Linked DNA regions of Arabidopsis thaliana. The protein of the gene in region 1 interacts with the protein of each later gene in a pairwise test. Each region holds a gene or a part of one and is shown on either strand. Other genes may lie near its edges.

Evidence for each region. The genes of interacting proteins can lie anywhere in the genome.
Region 2: the proteins of AT2G01175 (region 1) and FOLK interact in a protein complementation assay, tested with the Arabidopsis thaliana proteins (one large-scale study listed by BioGRID).
Region 3: the proteins of AT2G01175 (region 1) and AT1G27190 interact in a protein complementation assay, tested with the Arabidopsis thaliana proteins (one large-scale study listed by BioGRID).

What each region holds. Positions count from the first base shown.
Region 1 is NC_003071.7:103,451-108,111, forward strand, and holds AT2G01175 (uncharacterized protein), read right to left. Parts: upstream 2,842-4,661; 5' UTR 2,622-2,841; intron 2,346-2,621; 5' UTR 2,311-2,345; coding exon 2,122-2,310; 3' UTR 1,434-2,121; downstream 1-1,433. Other genes in the region: BAT1 (bidirectional amino acid transporter 1), read right to left, coding at 1-93, 173-392, 476-494, 583-843, 912-1,012; PAP1 (phosphatidic acid phosphatase 1), read right to left, coding at 3,732-4,661.
Region 2 is NC_003076.8:23,668,490-23,674,104, reverse strand, and holds FOLK (Phosphatidate cytidylyltransferase family protein), read right to left. Parts: upstream 3,839-5,615; 5' UTR 3,593-3,838; coding exon 3,278-3,592; intron 2,475-3,277; coding exon 2,407-2,474; intron 2,321-2,406; coding exon 2,189-2,320; intron 2,050-2,188; coding exon 1,934-2,049; intron 1,828-1,933; coding exon 1,535-1,827; 3' UTR 1,236-1,534; downstream 1-1,235. Other genes in the region: AT5G58570 (uncharacterized protein), read left to right, coding at 975-1,235. UniProt on the Arabidopsis thaliana protein: Kinase involved in negative regulation of abscisic acid (ABA) signaling. Substrate preference is farnesol > geraniol > geranylgeraniol, but has no activity with farnesyl phosphate. Can use CTP > ATP > GTP = UTP as phosphoryl donor.
Region 3 is NC_003070.9:9,445,370-9,451,221, forward strand, and holds AT1G27190 (Leucine-rich repeat protein kinase family protein), read right to left. Parts: upstream 3,678-5,852; 5' UTR 3,360-3,677; coding exon 1,554-3,359; 3' UTR 1,228-1,553; downstream 1-1,227. Other genes in the region: AT1G27180 (disease resistance protein (TIR-NBS-LRR class)), read left to right, coding at 1-449; AT1G27200 (glycosyltransferase family protein (DUF23)), read right to left, coding at 4,443-5,852.

The sequences.
Region 1 (4,661 bases):
GGCCATTATCAGTGTTGAAATTGGTAAAGACAAACTTAGTGGTTGCTCTTTCCGTAGAAACCAAAGGAATCAGAATCATGAGCACCAAAACCCCTGAATATAAGAGATGCTTGATTGATGATTGTTGTTGAGACATGACATGAAACACAGAGACAAAAGAGAGATTGGGTACCGAGGAGATTCCAAAGAGCAGCAAGCTGTCCAATGAAAGACAAGACGGAGATGGGGAGGCTGTTGAGAAGAGCGTGGATGAAGAGGATCCCACCATGGATACCAATCACAACAAAGTCTGATCCTTTATAACCGCCGCCGTTTCTACCGCCGGTGGAGAGAAGGACGATCACCTGAATCAACTGTGCCAGAGAGAAGTCAACGCTGGCCGTCACTGCCCACTGCAAACACACCACAACCTTACTTTTAGCCCCAATGAGAGATATATCTAATGAAAACAAGTCTGCTTGAATGAATGTTGCACCTGACCAACGATGTTGAACCTGAAAAAAGATTTGTGAAAATGAGTCAGAGAGAGACGCTCTCTTGCTTCCAATTCCAAATTAAGAAAAAGGTGAGAGAAGGGAGTACCAGCCAGTCATCCAAGAGGCAAGAGGAGCCCAACGAGGGCCAGCGAGCATAGCACTCCAGTAGTAGAGACCACCGGAGGTAGGGTAAGAGGAGCAGATCTCGGCCATAGATAACCCAACGCACATTGTGAAGGAGCCGGCCAGGAACCATCCGTAGACCAGAGTGACAGTGCCGCCGAATCTTAAGCCGGTGTTGTAGGTGGTGGTGATACCAGTGAGCACCGATATGATGGAGAAGGAGATGGCGAAATTGGAGAAGACCCTGAAATCTAACAATTGTTTAGCTAACACAAATCAAAGAAGAAAAAGGAAAGAGTGGCGGAGACAGACGAGAGATCGCGCTTGAGCTCTTGCTTGTAGCCGAGCTCCTTGAGGCGGACTTGGCCGGAATCCATGACGGGAACAAAGGATTGATCGCCGCCCAATCCCATAGTCTTCCTGGCCTGAGAGTCCAAAGCTTTGGTTGTTGAGAGCTCTCTCTCTGATTCAGACAAGATATTTATTTTTCTGTTATATTACTTTTTACATACCCCTCCAAACTGTCTTTTTATTATTATTTATTCTTTAAACTAAATAAATATGTAATTCAAGTAATATAAAAAAACTAATAAGCAACCCCAATGGTTAAGATCCTTAAGGAATCCTTAAGAATTTTCTAATATAAATTTTGACAAATATAAAGCTAAGGACTAGCTTAGGGACTCTCAAAAATATTCATGTCCAATAGTAGGAATTCTTAAGAAAGACAAATTTGAAAAAATATTTTGGTATTTGAGTTTAGATTGCTTGAAAAGAAAGATAGAGAAGACAAACTATACAAAAAATTTGATACATTTTTGATAAACACATTTTGAATAACAAAGATTCATGACAATAAATATGACAAAGTATACAAGATTCATTTGAAAACATATCAAAGACAAAAACTATACAAAAAAACATCATCCTCTTCTTGAAGATACTCAGAACATGGCCTACTCTTTGATACACAAACCTGGTTAATTTGCCACTGATGAGGATGACTGTGTAGAATGTTCAAATCATAAAATAGACAACTTTGTGGTTATGTTACCACGATCCACAAAATCATGTTAGTCTCGAGACTAACAATCAAAGATTTGCTATCCAAAACAAACTAAAAAAGATTTGATGCAATATTGAGAGGAAAAACTGAACCTGGTTTCTCTGATTTGAATTCCATTTTATCAGACTCTCATCCGTGCAACAGAATTTATAACACATTAACTAACTCTTGTTAACCACTCGTAATGCTAAAACATTATATAACCACAATCTTTGAACTCTCCTTCTTCATAACATTAGAGAGACAGAGAAGATTAAAGACTTGACACAAAAGTGTTTCAGAAGAAAGAAACAAACAAACCGAAGCCAAAAATCCTCTAACATGAGACACACAAAACAAATCTAGTGATGTTGTTCAACATTACATAACACATCTAAAAATACACTAATTTCGTAGACCACAAACATAAATCATATATGCTCATTGATTAAGAACAATAAATCATTATCTGAAGCCTTATGCAGAAGCAAGATATTTACCTTCTTTGAAAAAGGGGACCAACAAACCAAACAGCAGATGGATGATCAACGACATAATGAACCAAGTTATCACCGGCTGGTCTAGCAAGGGCTGCACAAGTAGCCAAAGAACCAAGAAACCCAAGTGCCCATAAAGCTTGAAGAGTCCTCTTAACCTCCATAACATATATACGAATTAGAAACAGAGATAGCCCCAAACCACTAGCACCAACAAAGTAAAACAAATCATGGTTCTGCTTGATTAGTTCACTTAATCAATGATGACAATCAAACATTAGCATCATCATTGGTCTCTTGTGTTCCCATACATACAACATCCGCTATAATTTCAGAGACACATCCAATTCAGAAATATAACCTTTGTTCTGATTATGATACATCAATCATCAATCGGAAGAAATCGATTGAACCTTCTCAGGGAGAGACAGCGCACGACTCTATGAGTAATATACAAAAGAAACGATTGAGAAGATTTACCTGGCGACACTGAGAAGAGACGATGAGGGAGGTATGTGACTATACAAGCTTTCGACAACTGCCGATGGTTACATGCGCTGCTGCTCCGATTACCTACCATCACCACTTACGAAACTTGGATTGATTCAATCGAACAAAGACCAGTGAGATCAGAAGCTAAGACCATCCCCATTGGTTAGGTCCTTAACCATGATCCTTAACTTTTTTTTTTTTATTAAAATTTTGCTTTTTGTAAGTTAAGAAACTAATAAGAGTCTTTAACAAATTTCTACTCCAATGGTTAAGAAACAATGGGTCCTTGAGTAAACAAAAATCAAATTTTTGCAAAATAATGTCTTCCAATACAAGCATGAAATTCATAATAACAAAGAGAAGAGATGAAATTTGAATTGCTAGTATCATCATTTGCTCAATAAAACACAATATAACAATACGCTAGCATGACAAAAACACAGTTTTCAGTTCTGTTCCAATATTTTCAGAAACAGAGAACCATTTTAATATCTTGAGTGCACAAAAGAAACGGTTTCCAGTTGTGCTTCAATATTTTCAGAACTGATTTAATACCTGCAGCATAGTTGGCAGCGCATGTGCGTAAGCACAAGTGTCAAACTTTGTTCTACACTAAAATAATAGCTACCCAGAAATTAAAAGAAGAAGAAGAATGAGAGAAACGAAGGGAGAAATAGAGAGAAAGAGAGATTACGCATGTGGAGAGCTCGAGTAATTTAGTGTTGTGGATGATTGAACCAGCTATGGCTATGCTAACAATGGCTTTGCCATCTTCAACCATCAGATTATAAGAGAAAATGTTAACCCAAGAATGATTACGAATTAAGAAATAACTGATTTCAGTTTAGATCACAAACATGTAAATACCGTGTTCACTAGAGCCGTATTAGTCTATTGGACGAGATTATTCGAGCGACCCAAGCCTCTCGGACACCAGAAAAACGTCAATTTCATGAAGAGTGGATTTACAAAAATGTAATGGTACAAGTAGAGTTTTGAATACACATACAGTATGTAGCTACACCATTCACAATCTCACGACGACGGCCAAATCAAAATGAAAAACCAAATAATGAATCAAATAATAAGAGAGGAGGATCATCTGGGAGCGGTGGAAGTGCCAGATTCCATGTTTTCGAGAGATGTTGAATCCATCTGCAGAGACATAGCCCTCAAGGCATCTCCGTTTTGGGAGGAGGTCACAGGGACTCCTCGTTCTTGAGCTGCCTTGAAATAGGCGTAGGGACCCCATCCTTCTTCGTGGTAAGGGTTGGGGTAGAACTGACGGTAGCAGAAGGCGGCTACAAGGGTGCCAATGAGAGCTCCTGCGAAGACATCTTGCCAGTGGTGCCAGTAGTCATCCACACGAGATATCCCCACAAGACAAGCGGCAAGCAGAGGGAAGATCACGAGGCAGAGTTTCGCCACATGTCCTTCATTGTTGAAGGCCTTGATTTTGCCAGAGAGGTAAAGGGAAAGGAATGTAAGCCCCGCAAAGGACCAGGAAGTGTGTCCGCTCGGGAAGCTCTTGTGGCCTTCCTTGACCTCAGCTGCCTTGCCGTGGCATACCACACCTCCCAACGCATCATACAGCTCTTTGCCGTCGGGGAAGCAGCGCCAGTAGAAGTTAGGACGAGGGCGTCCGGTGGCTACCTTGATGGAGTCAGTGATGACACCAGTTATCAAGACGGCGAAGAGCAGCCCGAGGATGCTGTGGTGCAGATCGTACACACATGTCCTCTTCAGGTAGAAGCAGACGAACACTATGATGGGAAGAAGCACAGCGTACACAGGGACAGACCAGATAGGTACGGTGTTGTCCTTGAAAGGGTACTTGAGGTCAGTCATCATGTCTTTTCCCACGTAGCGGTAGAAAGGAGAGATGAGGTTCAAGCCTATCTCGATGGCAATCAAGATGACGAGTATGATCCAATCGTGCTTGTGTTTAGAAGCGACTCTTCCTCCATGGGACTTTATAGTGTGAACACTAAGATCTATCTCCTGCATCCTCCCTCTCTGCGCCTCCTG
Region 2 (5,615 bases), on another chromosome or scaffold:
GCTTACACTGTAGAGCCGAGTCGCGACGGTGAACGGAGGAGGGAGAGAGAGTTTTTTCTCTCTCGATCTGTTGAATTTTACATCGGCGAAGAAACCACCAATCATGACTTGCCACGGCACCCAGGCCAAGCTAAAATATTAAACGGCAAGCGTTTCTTTACTTAATCATATAAACGACACGGTTTTCCTTCTCACCGTCACCTCGAATAGAAAGAAAACGACACTCCACGTCATCTAATTTCTGTTATGATTTTTTTATTAAAAGCCCATCTCATGGCCCATTCAAATCTCTTTTTTTTTTTTGCAGCACCCATGCAAAATCTCAGTAGAGCACACCTCGATTATAGCTTCTTCTTCTAGTTTGGCACAATTGCTTTTTTGTTTCTTCTGAAAATGTCTCTTTCAGAACCATTCAATTAATACAAGCATACCACGTTTTCTTCTATTTCGAGAATGCGTGAAGAAGTTAGCAATTTTAAATGGGCCAAATCAAAGAGTAATTAATTTTTGTATTCATATAAATAAGGGCAGAAGAAGAAGCAACTAACATGAGACACAAGGTCGCTTCTCTCTTGAGGAAATTTCCGGGAAAGTCACGGAGTCGGTTATGGGAGCCACACGAAAAGGATTTTCTTCAAATTACGAAAACGACGTCGCACGTAAGATCCAAAAAGACCCAATCCAACGCCCCATATGTAGAGAGCAATCACTAACGAACGTCCCAGTCTCACTTTCTACACCAACCTTTATACAAAAATCCATCTACTAAATTATCCCAAAGAAATATATTTAAACTCTTCTTTTCTTCTGTGGTGACATATTGTTTTCATTTGATACATATTCTCCCAAGTCAAATTTATATTTCAGAGAGGAAAAAGAAACAGACACAAATCCCTCCAAGATGATGCATGACAGTATGAAGTAGGTATGAGCAAAGGAGTTGAGATTTGAGAATATTTGAGATTACCTCTCTAATGGTAACTTCTACGGTGGAGGCCTCGAGTCCTGAAGATGGCGAACGACTTACTTTCACTAGAGACAGACACTACGCCATGCATGGTGAGATCTTGACGGTAGTTCTTGTCATCAGCTTCGCCGTCTTCCTCTTGTTCCTCGTGTTGCTTCCTTGTCTGAAACGCCGTTACAGTCACCAGTCCGACCTGTCAGAAGAGGCTTCCTGGAGCGGGACACTCAAGCCCTCACCTGTTGTAAGCAAACAATCCATTTCCACATAGCCATAGGCCAAATAACAAACAAACATGTATTGAATATCTGTTACAAAAGAGTATCTGTTACAAATTGTAGAAGCGTCACTGTTCGTCATCATATGTCTCACTAATGGATAGAACATTACAACATTGTACCCAACTGCAATTGCAGCTGAAAAATAAGATTTGTGGACAACAACAATATGAGATGTTTCACTAATACGTACATACAGAAGAAGATGGGAACAATGAATGCAGTTTTACCTCCATATCAGCAATCAAGCTCGACCCTTTATTTGATGATACATAACAACGAGAGGGTATTATTAGAAGAGTAAGAATCCGGCCAAGGCAGAGGTTAAGGAAATGGTGAGATTGTCGTCAATGTCGGTGCTTATTGGGAGTGATTCCACAAGAGCTGATGCTATAGAGATGACGAGGAAACGAAGAATCATTCCCCCGCTATCCTCGATGTAACCAAATGAAGCAAAGTAGTACATATACGCAACAGATGCTAGAAACCCGGCGGTGGCCATTCCAATGCTACCAGCAAATGATTTGTTTTTGTTGTAAGGAAGCTTCTCTGTTCCAAACCGCCGACCCACAATGTCAGCCATACCTTTTAACAGCAAGTGTGTGTATTAGAATCATCATTCAATGGATTCAAATTCCTAAGACAAAAGTTGCTAATGTTATTGGATCAAACCAGAGCTAACTGTACTTACCATCTCCTGCGCAAAGGTTGCATATCACCGCAATCGCGATTGGGGATGATTTCCAATAGTAGATGCAGGCTGATGTGATTGACAGTACATAGTAAAGCGGCCCCTTAAGTAGTTCCCTGATGCAGAGAGCGACTACAGACACTTTGTGAAGTGACAAAAGCAATAATAAACAGACAAACCGAATTTTGATCATAGATACCAAGAATGCTAAGAGATTGTTGGATATTGTGACAGACACTTGTTCGATTCAGCTACCTGCGATCTCCATGTCTGCTCATTGACTTGATTGTTCCTTCGTCGTGGTACACTCCAAGCCCCAGCAATAGCATCCTTACTATATTGAGTCCAGGTACAAGAGATGCGAAAAGTGCTCCTTGGATTCCAGAACTGAAACAATTGATATCGAAATAAACTGGTGAAGCAGAAAAGCAAGCTGGTACATCAAAATCGATCCTTTCACTCCGTATTATTACCTGAACAGCGGCCAGCAAAGCATAAAAACTAGCCCAATATTTATATGCACAAGCTTCCGGATGAGTTTCTGAAAAATAAGAAATAACACCAATGTCAACCACAGATGTTAAACCAATGCCTCATTCAATAAAACCATGAAAGTGGAGTCAGTCCTACATCAGACAGCCTGTGGATCTTATAAATTCAATGGGTTCTGAGATGATATCTTAATCACGATAAGGTCAGAGAAACAAAATCAAGTAGCTGAAGCCATACAGGTATTCCCAAACCAAAAATGTTTAATAGAATTTTTGCTAATCATAGATAATTCCTCTACTCCTAACCAAATTACTTGAAGAAAAACAAGTCACTGCGGAGAAACACATAAGAGAAAGGAAAAAAAAACAAGCCATGTCCAATATGTGTATAGACTGACTCATACGAAGAAATAATCCTTCAAAGTATAGCAAAGAAATTGTGCAACATTTAAACCTACAAAATTCATATATATCATAAATATGGTTGAATCTTCAAGTTACGATGAGATTGTGATTATACCGCACGAATTTCAAAAAAATTTCATCCCCAAATTGGGTTCTGAGCAATTTTCCCACTAATTTACCAGATATGGGGTTACTTTCCCATTGTTTATCGCAGTGTTCTTCCACCCCAAAATAGGTATCCATTCACATTCTATAATTTCTTGAACTAATAAGATTTATTATCCTCGCCATTAATGCCATCCATTACTCGATAAAGCTTACTACTACCATTACTCTGAATCCAAAGTTGCTTTAACCAGAAATTGCAGAATCGAGCAACATTCCAAAAACGTTATTCAACAAATCGACGCGTGTATAATTTAATTAAGTGAATTGAATGATCGAAAACCTGGTCGAAGATGCCACGTTTGCCAATCTCTCCCCAGAAACCGAGGCACGAGAACGCAACGATGCTAGTGACTCCAAACGCGCAGACATCTGATAAAACCGAATTTTCCGGAAACATCACGGCGGCGAGTGAAGACTTGCGGATTTTGGTGGCCGGAAACCTAGAGCTCGATCTAAAGCTAGTCGCGATTCGGACAGTGAGGAATCGTGGAATCGGAGAGAAGAAGGCGAGAGAAGGAGGAGAGTCAACGAGAGGAGATGAAATGAAAGAGCAGCAGAGAACGGAGAGCTTTGTAGTAGTACTAGTAGTTGCCATTTTCTGCAACACTAGAAAACACGACCTTTTCTTCGATTACGTTTTCATTTATTTTTTTTGACAGTAACTGGTTGGTAGTTGTTGTTGCTCAAGCACACAAAATTTGGTTTGTTTTATTGTTTACCAAAAAGATGGTGAAAAGTGGATATTTATTTCCCCAAAAGGAGTGTTTTACTTTATCTGGTCACATATGGATTAAAGCAATTTTAGTTTCGTTCTATTTGGATTCGGCTAGAATGGTTCATGACATGGTGGTGTTCGTTTGAGGAAACGCATAATTTGTTATTGTGGGCCTAGTTTGGGCTTTATATTCGCTAAATAATTTGGGCTGGTATAAGTCAACTAGACGGACCACAATTTGATTTCATCAAATAATTTTTCATGATTAATAAATCCCTAATTTAGTTACGAAACACAATTCAATTATTGTGCTACTCAGATTCGAGAAACATAAAAAAAAAAAAAAAAAAAGTGATTCAGATTCCCTCACATGGGTTGCCGAGACACATGACCACACGTCTCTTGCCTTGTTTAATCTTTTATCAATTTTGCATCAACTTGTATATACCATAAGAAAATTATTTTAATTGATTTCAATGTGAGATTTTCTTTAGTATTTTTTGCATCAAATAATGCCAACCTAATCCTCAATTATCCATCTTTATTTTTTTTCTGAAACAATCTTATATTATTTATCTGTTGGCAAAAGAAAAAAAATCCTCAATTATTTCGCAAATGGTATATATGTTTATCTTTAAAGAGTACACTTGCATGTGTTTTCCAGGTGTGCGGGCAAAAGAACATCAGAATTGGTTCTGGATATAGTTCTCTCCACTTTTTATTTGTTATTGTTTTAATACAGTACGTTTTATGAGAGTTTTTTATATATATAATAAATTATGCGTTTCCTGATAGTTGTTGGTCCAATATCGAGAACAAAAAAAACTAACTACAAGCTAAAAACCTAAAACTATGAAGATCTCAGAAAATATAAATATACACGCTCACGTTAGCGAGTAAAAAAGTAGACACCAGATTAACAAATGATTAGTGTGATCACAGTAAAGAAATGTTTTGCAAAATTTTAAGCAATTTTTTGAAATCATGTTGTATGTAATAAATTGAGTAAATTCATGCTGTACATAAATTAAAGACCATTTCTTTGTTAGTCATTGAAATCATAACCAATCAACCAATAAAACTGAATTTTTTTCGTTCATTAGAGAGATAAGTTAATATCTTCAAAGTTTAATGTTAAGCTCAATTGTTTAGATAGGAGATAACCGATAAGAAACCACATAACTAGTTAACCTACCTATCTTGGCATCACATGAATCAATGACGTTGGATAGTCAGAGAGGCTTATTTTAATTATACCCGAAACGAACCAACCATCTATAATTCTCTAAACTATATTTAATCATCATATAACTCTGTAATAAACCCAAATTTTCACAAATTAAAAGCCATACCAATATCTTCAAATATGGAAAAAAATAACAATTTAACAAAGAAACAAAATATTTCCTCACCAAAAAAACAGAAACAAAATATTGTTTTAAAAAAGGAAAGTGGTCTTTACACAAAAAGGAAAGAGAAAGGAAAGTGGTCTGGTTCGTATCGCACCCAATAAGAACCACCAACTGTTGAAGTTCGTAAACTGTTCCACAAAAAAATGCATAAAAGAAAGAAAAACAGATATGAGATTCGACCATTTTTTTTCCATATAAATGTTTTTTGGGTTTGCAAAAATCGACGCCATTACTCTTTTTTCTCCCCAAATTATTGACCTTTTTATAAAAATAATTTATATTCTCAATCACACTTCATCGTCTTCTTCTTCCTCTCTCTCTCTCTCTCCTTTTTGTCTCTGCACTGTGTGTTGTCACCGGAGACAGAGCTTGTGTTTTCAACTCTCTCTCTCTCTCTCTCTCTCTCTCTCTCTCTCTCTCTCTCTCTCTCTTGCTCTCTCCGTCTCCCTCACTCTCTCTTTACTTCAAAATCAAACCCTTTTCTCAGATTT
Region 3 (5,852 bases), on another chromosome or scaffold:
AGCTCAGAGGTGTAATCATTGCTGTTGTTGTGGCTCTTAATGATGAAACCGAAGATGACGACTATCAGCTGCCTGATGTGATGGAGGTTCAAGCCCAAATTCATAAACTTGATCATCACAAATGCACCAACACATTGCATCTCTCCGGAGTGCCTAGAACAAATAACGATCAGCTTCACATCTGCCGATACTCAGCTTTTCACCCACTGGTTACGATGTTGAAAGACGGGTACACCATACAGGTGATCAAACGAAACCCACCAATCAAACAAGGCGTTGAGCTAAAGATGCATGGCATTCATCTCGTTTACGAGGGGGATGATGATTTGGAAGGCAGAGAAAATACATTACCCGAGGCTCAACAAACCGTTTCTCAGAAACTTGCCAATTTTTTCAGCTCGTTTGAAGAAGGTGAAGCCAGCGCAAAAGGTGATTCCACTGTTGCATGATCTGCTACCACAGAGAAGTTAAGAAACTGCACAAAAACATTCTTTCCATACAAGCTGTTTGTTGATCATATAGCGTGTGTGCTTCTGTAAGTTTTTTCTTTCTAGGATGTTTAGTTGTTTTTTTACAGTTTATACCGTTGCTTCTATAATCAATAAAAACCCAAAAAGAGGAGACTCTTGTTTCCCACAATTCTGTGCAATTTTGTAGAATGTTCACAAAATTTGTGAAGACTTGGTTAACAAATCCAAAGACTTCTATGATCAAGGTATTTTATCTGCTAAAGACCTAAAGTGTGTTTGTTCTATTTCTCATTCTCCAACAAGTTTTCATATATTTACTGTTTCCATTGTAGCAGATGAAGCTTTACATAAAACCGAGAGTCCAAGTGTCCTGCTCGATACAATAAGTGTATGCTGAATTGACATTTAAGTCACTCGATACAAAAAATGACTTTCACAACTTGTAACAGTAGTAACAAAGAAGAAAGTAACAAATTGTGAAAGGAAATGTTGACAAGACGATAGCAAGCATTATTGAGAAGTGGGGTCGAAGTTCATGTGTCTATGGCCAAGCGAGACGCAGACATCTCTACATCTGCCTCCAACATATCGGTTTCTTTTAACTCTATTGTCTTTATTATAAGACCAAACCCCACATCTCATCCAAAAGATATCACAACACACCAAATTACGCATTGACCTTTTTGACTATCAAAGACATTACTTCAAAAGATAAAATCAACAGACAAATAAACATTCTTCAAATGATTCAACTCCAAGGCATAGAGCCGTTACGAACCTAAGAAATTAAACCAAATGCCAAACTATAGGAGAGCTTGAAATAAGACTGAAATCTTCTCATTTCATCAGAAGAGGTTACATTCCAAAGAGTACATTAATGACCCAAACGAATGTACAGAATTATACGGTAGGAGATACAAGACAAACACGAGCACTGACACGGTTAAAAACTAACAACACTGAGGGAAGGAACAAAGAATGAGATATAAAGTAAAAAAAAAAAAGCTTCTGATACAAAAGTAGATTTCTCATACCTTCTTAGCGCTTAAGCTGCCAAAAAAGACTACTTTCTGGTAAAGATACTCAAGCTTCTTGTTTGTTGAAGACCAGAGGAAATTCATCGTAATGCTCCGAAACACCGTGTTTATCTGCCATGTTCTTCAAAGATTCATACACCTGAATCATCGTTGGCCTTTCCTTAGGCCTGGACACAACACAGCTACATGCGATTTTCAGGAACTGCAATATCTCCTCATCGTGTCCTTTATCACATATGCTTCTATCAATAGCGTCTTTGCTTCTACCAGTACCCAAATACTGACTCACCCAGTCAACTAAACTCCCTTTAAACCCTTCCACACCGTTAATAACAGACAAAGGCTTTTGCCCTGTAACCAATTCAAGAAGCACAATCCCAAACCCATACACATCTCCTTTCAAAGACGCAACCATGGTGCTCGAATACTCAGGCGCTACATAACCTAACTCCCCCAAATCCCCATTATTGAACGAGCTATCGTTCGAATCACGAGATCCAACTAGCTTTGCCAATCCGTAATCTGTTATCCGAGCATCAAAATCATCATCAAGAAGTATAACATTGGAGCTAATAAACTGATGCAAATACGGCGGTTGGCATCCATGATGCAACCAAGCTAACCCTTTAGCAGCTCCCACACCAATCGCACGCCGAGTCGGCCAATCCAAAACAGCATCACACAATCCACCATTGTGCAACTGAGAAAACAACGTACCATTAACCATATGCTTATACACCAACAGTCTCTCATCTTCCACAACACAATACCCTAAAAGCGGCACCAAATTCGGATGTCTAAGCTCTCCTAACTTATTCATCTCCGACCTAAACTGTTTCTCACCAAACCCACAAGCACTAAGCCTCTTCACCGCAAGTGCAGACCCATCAGGTAAATCCGCTTTATACGAAACCCCAGTCCTCGACGAAACATCGATATTCCCTGAACTAAAATTGTTCGTAGCAGCCATTAAATCACCCAATTTAATCTTCACAATAGGTTTCTGAAACAAAGTCACCTGAACAAGCTTATGTGACCTCAACAAACCAATCCAATCACTATCATCCTTAGACTTCCCAGCACCATAACCTTTCTTCTTCCTACTACCTTCTCTAATAAAGAACCACCAGAATATAACTAAACCAACGCACAAAGATCCAACAGCTCCAAGAACTCCAGCAACTATAATAATACTCAGATTTCTCCCATTCAACGCTCCACATCGCGATAAAGGCTTCCCACAAAGTCCGTTATTCCCGCTAAAATCGTCTCCTCCGAACCGAGCCAGCTCGGACGGAATCGTACCGGAGAGATCATTCCCTGCTAGAGAAAGACGTCGAAGGCGATCTAATCGACTCAACTGAGAAGGAATCGAACCAGAAAGCTTATTATCACTCAGAATCAAAGCGTTTAAGAACTTACACTCAACGATCTGAGTCGGAATCGAACCACCAAGCTTATTCCCAGACAGATCTAACGTAACGAGATAAGGAAGCCACGAACAGATTTGAGAAGGAATCGAACCAGAGAGATCGTTTCCAGAGAGATCCAGAGATTGTAAACTACGACAAAGCTTAAGAGACTCAGGAATCTCACCGGCGAGCTGCATCGATTGAAGCTGAAGAGAAATAATCCGATTCTCTTTCTCGTTCCAGCAGGAAACACCAGTGAGCTTACAAATCGAAGAAGCTGAAGAGTTTGGGAAAGACCAGGAACTGAGTCTAGAAGAAGGATCGATGAGTGAGTTTTTCAAACCTTGGAGACAGAGAACGTCGTCTTCAGCTGAAGAAGAAGAACAGAGAAACGAGCTTATGAAGAGAAGCCATAAGAGTGTGATGAAGATCTTCTTCATGATTAAGGATGGATCTAGTTCTTCTTCTTAGGTTAAAAAGCAGAGAGAGCTTCTATGGCGGAAGAAGAATGGTCATTGACTGTGTGATACTGTTGAGAAAAGATGAGAAACTTTTTTTTTTTGTTGCTCTTTTGACTCTTTTTTTTTTTTAGTAACTTAGTGGAAATTAGTATTTATCTTTTGTTTGGGGAAAAAGAATCTTCTTACAAAACGACACCGTTGGAAAAGCAAGTCTGAGAGAAGCAGAGGATATATACAAGTCAGTCTAGTCTACTACTACATGTTACAATTGAAAGGGAAAGCTAATTTTTCAAAAAGGATAACACTTTTGGGTGAAGATTTTTTTTTCATTTCTTGTATTGATAGGTTTGCCTAAAATCAGACATGGAATTTTAGAACCATGATTCTTTAACTCTAACGTATCAATTTAATCAAAATTAAATTCTTCCTCTATTGATATTGATATAATGTGACTTAAATGGGATTCTTTTTGTATGAAAGGTTGGTTGGCTGGTAATAAACTAATAATAATAAGTCACAAGAGTTTTGAACTTGTTATAAAGAAAAAGACAAAAATATTTTATTTTTTTAAAACAGAAGACATTATTACTAGAACTGAGGAAACAAAAAAAGACATTACTTGAACAAAAATGTGTTTTGGCCCATGGGCTTTCACAGCATTAACTTACATTTCAGCTCATGGGTTTCATGACTTTAGGCCCATAATCTTCATTGCCTCGAGACCAACCGTTTGTAATATTTAAACATTTCATCTGAGATTCTAACTCGAAACCTAAGTACTACTACTACAAATTTCGTTCTTGAAATCTTTCACTTCCATTCATATAAGAACAAGAAAGAAAAACAAAAAAAAAGGGATTTAGCAGTGTTACCGAAATTTACATGTGGTAAACTCTAAGAAACAAAAGATATTATAAGCCAACTTTATCCCCCACCAATCAACAAAACCAAAAAAAAAATGTAAGTAACAAAAGAAAGAAATATTGATGTAGATTTTGTATGTATCCTTGTCAAATGTAAATAAAATGTACACCTGCTGCTGAATCAGAAACCAACTAAAAGTCATTCTTGTTGTTGCCTCTGCCACGGCAGATAACCAGTCACTTGATCAGCAAAATTCGACATAACCAAATCCTTCAATCCAGTGTCCCACACTTCACAGAACCGTCGTTTCCAATCCGGCGGCTCGATTGCCTCTGTCCCGAGCCCTGGAGCTCGATCTTTAGACCCTTGATTCTGATTCTCTTGCCAGTCAACAACATAAGTAGCCACTCTTCTGTAAAACTTAGCTTTGAAAGTGTCCCAAACTTGGTACTTGTAATGGTTCACTACCGCAACACTCTCCACCAAACTCATATGCCCCACTCCTTCTTTCAACTGAAAATGATGTACTTCATTGAGCAATGAGCTTGTGAGCAACTCAGGGCGGATTATCGACTTGTGTCTCTCGGGGTTCGCTTGTCTACAAGTGTAACCTACGGTCACGCCTTGTGATGGAACCGAGGTCAGACCGGATGGACCGTAGCTATGACAGTCCGTTCTGATCTCTCCAACCAAATCCCAAGAAGTGTAGTTCGATACAAGCGACTTCAAAGCGTTTTTGCTCGGTAAGCCTTGAGAGCGATGCGTAGGGAAGTAGTAGAACTCGTCGACATCGAAGAATCCAACCCAATTGCATTCTTCTTTCGCTCTAACCGCACAATGCGAAAAACCGGCTTCTTGAGTCTTGATCCAAGGCCAAACATGTCGACTCACATTGTAATTCTCCGAACTAAGCAACTCAATCTCCTCTTGTATACCATCATCGCTGTTGTTATCATATATAAACCAACGTTCGACACCGAGCCACGAGTGATACATGATCCATTCACGCAAGAACGGAGCTTGGTTCCATAACATTGTACAAACACAAAGCTCATGCTTAACTCCACTCTTCTTCTCCTTCTTCTCAATCGAATCAGAACCGTAGATTCTCGCAACCGAAGGCAGAGCAGGGGTAGTTCTTCCTCTAGGATCAATGTGAATTACACTCACTCGAAACATCATCTCTGGATTTAGCTTCAAACTCTCAGGCAAACCACACCTCACAACTTCTTGCGCAGCAGCAATAGCTTGAGTCACCTCTTTCTCCTCCGAATTCTCAATCTCAAATTGACACTTATAGTAAGAAGGATCTGATTCCTTGTGAGGTCTTCGAGTCAATCCTTTAACAAACACAACCACCGTGTCGCCGTCAATCACCGCCTCATAACCAACCTTTTCCCAATTATGAACACGACGGCTCTGTTTCTTCATCTTCTTCTTCACCAAATCTCCACGGAATTGCAAATCAACAGATGAAGAATAGTTCAAAGGAGCATTAGGACATCGAACAATCGACCTAAACTCATCGAATTCATCACTAGAAATCGAGGGCAACACCAAAGTCTCTTCCTTTACTCCACGATAAACACAAACTAGGTTTTTTTCACC